Drosophila melanogaster: one gene and its partner. The protein of the gene in region 1 interacts with the protein of each later gene in a pairwise test. Each region holds a gene or a part of one and is shown on either strand. Other genes may lie near its edges. The genes, in order: Fadd and imd.

Region 1 (3,617 bases):
TTCCGAATCCGAGTTGGCCACCTGAATTTGTTGCTTTTTTGGAGGCTGTTTTTGTTGCTTCTTCTTGGGCAGCGGCGCCTCCTGGAAATCCTCCTCTAAGTCGTCATCTGCGGGTCGAAAAGTGAATCTTACATATATTTATTAGGCACACACGTTTTTAATCGTACCCTCATCCTTGGCCACATGCTTTTTACTGAGTTTCTCCGGTTTTTTACTGGGTTTATTGCCATTTTGTTTGGGTGGCTCCTGCTTTTGGGCGTTCTTGTTTCCCTTCTTCTGCGAGAGCTCCTTCTTCATCTTCTCCCGCTTAACGATCTTCTTCATCAGCAGCTTCTCCCGAATAGACATATTGCTAACTATGTATGCTTTTTAATAGAGTTTAATGGTTAAAAACAGAATTCTCAAATAAAATATTGCGCGCACGTGTTGCTAACCATTCACCCCGAAGCAAACGATATTCAGCCAGCTGTGCCTATCGATAATTGCCAATTCGATAGTTCAATGCAAAAGGTGTGACCCTATTTGTAAACAAATTTTCAACCGTCTTTTGAGGATAAGAGAAGCAAAAGCGTTTGCAAAACGTATTTTATATCCATTGTACATTGCTATCTTCAACTATGTGACTTGTGTATTACGAGTTAACAATATTTTTTGTAGACTATCTTATGATAAGGAAATGTGAATTCCCATTTTGAATGGAATACGTCAATCACATTTTCTTATAAGATCGTACAATTCCGCGTTGACACATATTAATTTAGTGTGCGATTTTTATGCTCTGTCCAACCTTGGAATAACATGTGAATAATTACAATAAAGGCACATCTTTGTCGCTCTCCAGCACATTAATTACTAGTATCGTAACAAAATGCATATAAAGTGCATATAAGTGAATGCGTTCTAGTGCGACATTATCTGCTCCACCCTCTTGCGCAGATCATTGCGACCACAATCGCCCAGGGCGCGACACAGACGAAGCAGAAAGTGCTTGGGATCGTGGCAATCATCCTCTTCGATGAGCTGCAGCAGTCGCAGAATCTGGGACTTCAAGTCGTGCGGGTAGCGCTCCTCGATTGTGTCCATTTGGCCCTCGCCAATGCCCGCCGATCGGCCCAGTCGTCGCCAATAGCGACCCAGTTCCTCGGATATTTTCTTAAAGACCATCGTTCGTTTGTGATCCGTAAAAGCAGCTGGGGTGGCATAGTTTTGGATTGCTGTTGGAGGCACAGCGGCAGCTAATTCCGAAACTGATGGCTGAGCATTCTGGGAAGCTGGAGCAATACGGAGCTGCTGACGAAGTTCCTCGGCCAATCGGAGTTCCTGGTACAGATTAACCGGATGTCCAAGAATGTTTTCCGGCTTTGTGTAGGCGCTCAGAGCCTCGATGAGCTGTGGCATATTGCCTGATATCCGGCGCAGTGGCTCCACATTGTACTCCGATAGTTCGTCCGCTCGTTCCAGGCAGTCAATTAAATCCTCGATGGTTCGTATGCAATCCGATCTGCGTCGCGAACCAATCTCTTCGACAAAAATTAGTTTCAACTGCTCCACGTTCTCGGTGCATCCATCAATGGCGATTTGTTTGAGGCTGTCGTAGCTCCAGTGCCTGCCTGCAGTCATTGTGACTAATTTACAGAGACGGTATTTTCAGCGGTCTTAAGTTCCCAAAATGTATCAACGCAACTTCACTCCCTGATGTAGTATGACCGTATGGCCAAACATTTCCTTACCTGTTATCGATCAGCACTGAATAGGTGTTTGAGCAAAATGAGCAAAAAAATATCAAATACTATTTCCATACAACTTAAAAAATTTAAAATAAGCTTTAAACTTGCACCACCTTGCATGTTTGGGATCTATTAGTGAGACCGTTACATAGCCATTCGATAACATCGATAACAGATGGCACGCACCATCCCTAGTTTTGATAGATATATATTTATGTTTTTGTTACTTTTACTGAAGCAACTAATGATAAACGCAAACGTGTAGACGAATGGAAATATCCATTAACGTTTTCGTATTCCTCCTCTACACTCTGGTCTTGATTTACCTTCAGCATTTCGTTAACAAGTACACAGAGTTCGTCCGCAGCCTCTAAATGTTGGGCCTTCAGTCATACGCCAGTTCCTCGGATGAAGAATCGGACCATGCGGACGCCGCCACAGCCACCACGAATTCAGAGCCCTCCGCTCCCATTCCGGATCACCTGCTGCCCGTGGACAAGACACACTCGCTATCCAAGTCCATTGCTGTTTGTGCGGCGCCAACGGTGGTTCCCCTTGGAGCATCGGCCGTGCCCCGAACTCTGGATCCCACGCTCAAGGAGGTAACCTACAATCCGCGCTATGAGGAGATGTATGCTCCGGTAAAAGGTCCGGAGCATCCGGACCTCACCATGCAGCAGCGCGCTCCGCGGAACACCCTAGCCGGCTACGTAGAGAAGGCCCACATCAATGCCTTCGAATTTGAGAACCAGCGACGCACCTTTCACACCTACGGCTACGCATTGGACCCCAGCGTAGACGATCAGGCGGACGGCCAGTCTTTTGTGGGTGACCTGCAGTCTGCGTACGATGACAATGGCAAGACGGTATTTGAGCCGCCCAAGGCAAAGAAACTGCGCAAGCAGGAGAAAAATGATAATCCCGAGGACATTGAGGGCTTTCTGGGTCCCTGGGGCAAGTTCGAAAACGAGGTGTCGGTGGCAAAGCCAAATGAACAGGAGCGCGCCGAACTGGACGAGCTGCTGTCTAAGCGACATAAGCGCGGACGCATTCCCGAGGATAAGCCGCTCGAGGAGAAGTCGACGCTGCACAGTGAGTTTAATCCAATAGCCACCGAATATATATCGTTAATAATCTTTTCCTTTTTTGCTCCACAGTCAAGGATGCGTACGACTATCAGGGCCGCTCTTATTTGCATGCTCCTCATGATCTGGGCGTGAATCTACGATCGAATGCACCACCGACCAAATGCTTTCTGCCCAAGGCGCACATACACACCTGGTCGGGCCACAACAAGGGCATCTCCTCCATCCGCTGGTTCCCCAAGACCGCTCATCTTCTGCTCTCCGGATCGATGGACTGTCGCGTCAAACTGTGGGAGGTTTACGGCGAGCGACGCTGCATACGCACCTTCTCCGGTCACCGGCAGGCCATCAAGGATATTGCGTGGAACAACAGGGGTACCAACTTCCTGTCTGCCTCGTATGATCGCTACATAAAGTTGTGGGATGCCGAAACGGGCGATGTAGTGTCCCGATTCACAACGCGTAAAATGCCTTTCTGTGTGAAATTCCATCCGGATAATAGCAAGCAACATTTGTTCGTTGCCGGCACCTCCGACAAGAAGATCATTTGTGTAAGTAAAATTTACAAAAGTAGATGCTCATGTTACAATTGTTTTCCTATCAATTCGCAGTGGGACACTCGCAGCGGTGATATTGTACAGGAATACGACCGGCACTTGGGATCTGTGAGCACCATCACCTTTGTGGACGACAACCGACGGTTTGTGACCACCTCGGACGACAAATCGATGCGCATATGGGAGTGGGACATTCCTGTGGACATGAAGTACATTGCCGACCCCACTATGCATTCCATGCCGGCGGT
Region 2 (6,238 bases), on another chromosome or scaffold:
GGAGTTCAGCCTGAAGAATCCGCAGCACACGGTACCCGTGCTGGAGGACGATGGCAAGTTCATCTGGGAGAGTCACGCCATTTGCGCTTATCTGGTTAGACGCTATGCCAAGAGTGATGACCTGTATCCCAAGGATTACTTCAAACGCGCACTCGTTGATCAGCGCCTGCACTTTGAGTCGGGTGTGTTATTCCAGGGCTGCATCCGGAACATAGCCATTCCGTTGTTCTACAAGAACATAACTGAGGTGCCGCGTTCCCAGATTGATGCCATCTACGAGGCCTATGACTTTCTGGAAGCGTTCATCGGTAATCAGGCTTACCTCTGCGGACCGGTCATAACCATCGCCGACTACAGTGTAGTTTCCTCGGTCTCCAGCCTAGTGGGATTGGCCGCTATCGATGCCAAGCGCTATCCCAAGTTAAACGGCTGGCTAGACAGAATGGCCGCACAGCCCAATTACCAGTCGCTCAATGGCAATGGGGCACAGATGTTGATCGACATGTTCAGTTCGAAGATCACAAAGATTGTGTAATTGTTTGCACTAGCTTAAAGGTTACAAACGCAACGTGTTCTGATTACGTAACAATAAAGCTTCTATTTGTATAAACTTTACAAAAATGCTTTTAAATACCAGCTCAATTAGCTGGTTTTTTTTTTCGACACAAGTATCACAACTTAAAGATTAAACTGCAGTAATAACAGTTAATGCAATTCTACGCACTTATTCGATAGGTTGGATTTATAAATCAAATATTGCACATATATCCCGTGTTCGTCTCTTCTCTCTACCACTCGATGTCTTCTGTCAAAGGCCGCTCTGAATTTAGCAAAAGTTGGTGGGTTAAACATTTCCAGTTTTCACCATCCGGCTGGCTTGGACATCAAGGGGCCACTTTGAATGCATCGTTTTCGTTCTGGAATCTTTGCTAGCAAGTTTCACTCACTGACTAGCTGTTTGTCTTGCGCTTCTCCAGTGCCTTCCAAACCAGTTTCATGCGCTGCACGCAGTCGCGATGCTGGGACTCCCACAGCAGTGTAGTAAGTCGTCCAACGGTGGCCACACCGTCCGCCGAGCTTCGAATCCACTGGAGCAACAGCTGGTATATCACCTATAGACGTAGACACAAAGCAAAGTGTTATTTTCTGATTTTATGATTGATTTTCTAACTCTTAAAAATCATTAAAATCTTCTGGTACTCTAACAACAGAGTTGTGACATTTATACACCATAACTTGCAATCTAATCAGACAAACAAGTGGAATCACTATCAGTATTATATAAAATAAATAGCTCACAATAATGTAAGCTAATTTATATTATTTTTTTTTTTAAGTTGAACAATCCATTCGTGTCAAGCAATGAAATCTAACAGAAATAGTGGTATTTGAGTCATTAAATTAGTCTGATGCGTCACAATCATCTTAGCATAGTCTGTTGTTTTACATACTAATTTGAGTTTGTATGTTCTGTTCTTGAATCAACATTCAACAACAAATAAGAGAAGTTTAAACTTCAGGGGCCTTACCTCTCTAATATTGCCATGCATTTGGTGATCGATTATGGCCTGGTCGATCTGTCCTTCCGACATGCCAAGATCCCGCATCACCTGCTTCCAGCCCTCGCCCAAGTGCGTGGAAACCACATCGAGCAGGCGCACATCCGGTTCCTCTTGTGACTGCATCATGGCCACAATGCTGACCGTTTTGCGCGTCGCACTTGCCCGCGGCTTACCGTCTGGAGAGGCGACCGACTCCTCTGCGGTACTGGTGCTACCCTTTCGCGAGCTGCAGGCGCTCAAGTTTTGGTTGAAGTTGTAGACGGAGCCGAAGTGCAGATTATTGGCATTCGAGAAGTTCATGACCACCTGTTGCTGGGCGCTGTGTACGTTCATGGTGTTGTTTGTCTGGACGTTACTGAGAGTGCCCGGAATATTGGCGGAATGCACCACATCCATTGAATTGTAGTTTGGGTCGCTGAGCTCGCGCAGCACGGATTCGGTCAGATCCGAGGAGGCTGTGGGCGTGCCAGCGGTGGAGGGCAGCGCCAGGGCTCCGCTGTTGTTGTTATCTGGTTCGTTGTCGTCCACGGGAGCTGCGTCCTTTTCCAGGCGTCCCTCGACGGGTGTCGGATTCTGTGCCTCCTTCCCGCCAAAGATTGTGGGCAACAGGTTCCTGAGCTTTGACATGCTGCTCGCTGATAACTGGTAGCTTTGAATGTGCTCTCGCTTCCGGAAATTCCACAGATTGGGGAGTTTTTTGCCTTTGTGTTTCTTTGCTCTTTTTCAATTTGGTGGTGGTAGGCCAAGGATGGACCTGACTATCGATATTCCGAGCCGATTATCAACCGATATTTCACTTACAACTAAAAATTTTTAGTTTTATTAAGAAATTCAACTAAATAGCATTTCTTGTCTTTTCCGTCTGATTGAAAAAATCAATTATATTTGACTAACATACAAAACTTAACATTTGAATTTTAATTCTTAATCATTATGTGCATATAAGGAAAAAATTTAAGCATTTATATCTAATCTTTATTAATTTGCATATAAGGAAACCCCCATAATAACGATTATCATCTTTAAAAACTGGTGTTTGTTGTCTAAGTTTTTTTTTAATATATTTTTTTTATTGTTACTATTGAATAATTCTTTAATTAATTTTTGAAAATCCCCAAAAGAAGGCCATGGTAATAGACCCAATAGTCGATAGTTCGATTTGACAGTTCGCGCTTGCGATTGGTAAGAGCGACAACCCTGCACCCGCTGCGGCGTATCGCCCATCTCTATTTGCCACGTTCGCTCATGTTCATTCACATTTTACTTGGAGTCGGTAACGTTGAGTTCCGCGTCCGTGCGTTCTGCCTTCCAATAGAAAGTCTGGGTGTGAATTTACCAAGATTCCAGTGCGAAAATCAACTCACATTGCTCGGTGATCCGTGCGGCGGTATAATTGCAGCCGGAATTGCATAAGTTGCGGCGAGCGAAAGAGAGTGCACGGATTTACAGTTATAAAGGGCCGGCAGCGGTGGGGCGGCGACGGCAGAGCAAGCAGAAGAAGAAGAGACGGCAGTGGCGAATTAAAAAAAACGATGAAAGAAAATTCGGGCCGCTAATTTTTCTTCAAATTTGTGTGCGGTCGGCGAAAAACAACGTGTTTTTCAATGGTTGATAATACACACGGACGGCGCACTCGCGCTCACCCACACAGTCACAAAAGTCGGCGACGTCGACGACCCACACGCTCACATAGGGACGTAAAATCCCGTGCATACGTGTGAGCGTGCATATATAAGCATATTTGTCCGATTGGAAGGCGCGCGTGCTGCCTTTTATTTTTTTTTACTTTAATTTTCCTATTTTTCGAGAGGGGGAGGCAGAGTTAAGGCCCCGCCCCGTGCCGGAAAAGAGGATCCACACAACCTTTCACCTGGAAAGCATACGGCACTGATTTCCGCATTTCCATACTCTCACACACACACACAGACGCACACAAACACGCCCACGCGCTGCTCCAATTTTGCCTCCGCTGCTGCCACAAAAACAATTGTCCAATAAGTGGCCCGCATATGCTGCCCCCCTCCCCTTCCTTCACCGTGCTCTCTGCAACAACGCGCTCTCTGCGACAAATAACATTAGACTTTCTATTGGGGATGTGCATAACGCAGAATGACTGACTAAATGATTTGTAGGGCATTCATCCTGGTGATGCCACGATCCGATCTTCTGCATCCGCTAATTGCATTAATTTTAAGCAATTGTTTTTCGGCTTTTCCAGCAGACACCCAAGTTATCAAACTGGATTTGGTCAAAGGAGAGTAAACTCGGCCGGATTTTTTGGATTTTACAGTACCGTAAGTTGAACAACCTTTGCCTAGAGTTAATTTGCATAGTTTAACATTTTACACAAGTGTTTTGCCAAAAAAAAGACAACAAATGTCGTCCAAGTTAACGGTTTCATGCCTAAAACTGACTACGTCAAGCTTTTCTTTTTTTGGTCTTTGGGATCTTTGTATCGAAATTACAGAAACAAGAATCCATCCGATATGTGCATACCAATTTTGTATATATGTTTTTTTTTTTTTTGGTTTTTTGTTTAAAGCTGAACTTTAGCGCATTGTTATTGTGCTTTGTCTTCATTTGTCGACGTCAGCGTCGCTGCAGGCGTCACATACGAACGTATGAACGATGGTATTTGCTATGTAGGTATGTTGCTTGTTTTCGTTTTTTACCTGTGCCTTCTCGAAAGGTGGCAACACACACACACAACCGTATTCCCGAAGAAGAAAAAGAGCGACACAGAAATGTGCAGGCACACAGGCACAGCACACTCACATGCATACAATACACCACTGGCACTGCTCGATCGTTTTGTTGTAGTTGCCGGCTATCATCCGGTTTTATATGGAGCTGCTCCCCTGCTCCGTTAAGTTACTTCGTCAAGCTCTCGCTCTCTCCTCTCCCTGTTCCTGTCGCTCTCGTGCTCTTGTCTCTGTATTTGACACATTTTTCATGAGCACAAACAGATTCGTCGTTAGGTGATTATTTTTTTGGGAAATTAATTCTGAAATGAAAAACTATTATTAAATGTTAGGGATAATGATCTGGTGTCACTTGCAGTTGTCATTGTTATCTGTAATATATAAATGTATTAAGCTTTCATTGAAATTTACAAAACCGTATGATTTAAAAGTAAGAGGCCCCCTTTACACATACCCTGCCACCGCCGCTGTCCGCACATACAAAGACACAACTAACAGAGAGGAGACAGACATATCTTTGTTGTTCTTTCGGTAGAGAGGAAAATGTAGGCTACGAAAACTCGTTGGGCATGGATTTAGAAAACAGCTTTGGTCGAACAAGTGCATGGTCTCTGCTGCTCCTCGGCTGAGATCTCTCTTTCTCATTCGCGAGGCCCCAACCTTTCACCCAATCGAAATCCGACTGATAGCAGCCTAAATTTCGGAAAGCGCACTTGTAGCATTGTGTGTTTGTGTGTGTACGTACCACAATATCTTGGTGGCAATCGGACGACTGAGCTTATCAGCCAGAACGGCCGATAGTTATCACTCAGCCCCGGAATCTGCCTGCGTGGCCCATCGGCCGCGTCCACTTATCACCACCGAAAAGCGGAGAGTTGTGTCGAGCACTCATCTCGCAGATCCAAGCACTACGTGGCCTTAGTTTCAGGCTGTGGTGCAGAAAGCTCGTTTGAAAAGAGACTATTTCGGTTTATCAACGCCAGAAAATCCATTTCATGCACCCCCTTTGGACACGCACTGTTTACAGTGGGGCATGCAACATGGTTTCCCGGAATGATTCTGCATTCAGTCGAAGGAAACTTTACGAATATAAGCTACAGAGGTGAATTCAATGAATAATTTATGATCTAATTTAATAGATATTTTATTAAATGTAGTATTGGATGTTATTGGAAATTTCTTCCATTCACAAATTAAGAAGAAATGGAAAACAGCAAACAAAAAATTGCAAACTTTTGACGTTTTTATAAGAAAGCAATAGTAACGCAACTTGTTAGATTTCCTGTACATAAGTCACGCCGCATATCCAATGAATTATCTTTGTACTAATTTGTTTACTGTAGCCAAGCGGTCCTAAAGTGTGTATGTACTTATGTAGTTCCTTATCAGTTGGTCGCAGCCAAATGCGGGTCCTCGGAGGTCGCACTTATCAACTATCTGCGATTTTGGTAAGTCTGCGGGCGACTGACAACAGAAACAGATGAAAACTGTAGCTAAACGGGCCTATTTTAATCCATGTTTGCCAAAATAAGAATGCCATTTAACTATTTGTTCTTTGATTGATCGACCAGCACTTCGATAATCCCCTAGAAATTTTTCCTTCCTGGTTGTTTGCTTTATCGCTGGCTGATAAACAAGGTTCATTTATAGGGTCCAGTATGATGTAAACGTTTTAATGCACTTGATAAGATATCTTCTACTTTTCAATTTCAGTGTACTGTAAACGACTTGGAACGAAAAAGGACTTTTCTCTTTTTTTAAGTAATGCAAGCAGCAGCAGTGATGGAGGAAACTAACAACGGTGAGTTCTTCGAAGGCTAAATATTATCAAGCAATTGTTAACCAAAATCATCATGCAGCAACTACCATCGAGCAGCAGCCCATCGCTCTCATTAATGGCCAAGAGCAGGTGGCCAACGAGCAGCAACCATCCTCGCCAACTTCAGTGGCCACGCCCACTAGTACCACTAGCGG

Evidence for each region.
Region 2: the proteins of Fadd (region 1) and imd interact in a two-hybrid assay, tested with the Drosophila melanogaster proteins (2 studies listed by BioGRID).

What each region holds. Positions count from the first base shown.
Region 1 is NT_033777.3:22,032,566-22,036,182, reverse strand, and holds Fadd (Fas-associated death domain), read right to left. Parts: upstream 1,729-3,617; 5' UTR 1,621-1,728; coding exon 901-1,620; 3' UTR 566-900; downstream 1-565. Other genes in the region: pit (pitchoune), read right to left, coding at 1-107, 168-348; CG45099 (uncharacterized protein), read left to right, coding at 1,997-2,101; CG6015 (uncharacterized protein), read left to right, coding at 2,102-2,819, 2,885-3,363, 3,424-3,617.
Region 2 is NT_033778.4:18,409,222-18,415,459, forward strand, and holds imd (immune deficiency), read right to left. Parts: upstream 4,379-6,238; 5' UTR 4,235-4,378; intron 4,209-4,234; exon of another isoform or gene 4,105-4,208; intron 3,857-4,104; exon of another isoform or gene 3,627-3,856; intron 3,136-3,626; exon of another isoform or gene 2,806-3,135; intron 2,366-2,805; 5' UTR 2,190-2,365; coding exon 1,530-2,189; intron 1,113-1,529; coding exon 951-1,112; 3' UTR 575-950; downstream 1-574. Other genes in the region: GstE9 (glutathione S transferase E9), read left to right, coding at 1-535; Dp1 (Dodeca-satellite-binding protein 1), read left to right, coding at 6,029-6,065, 6,124-6,238.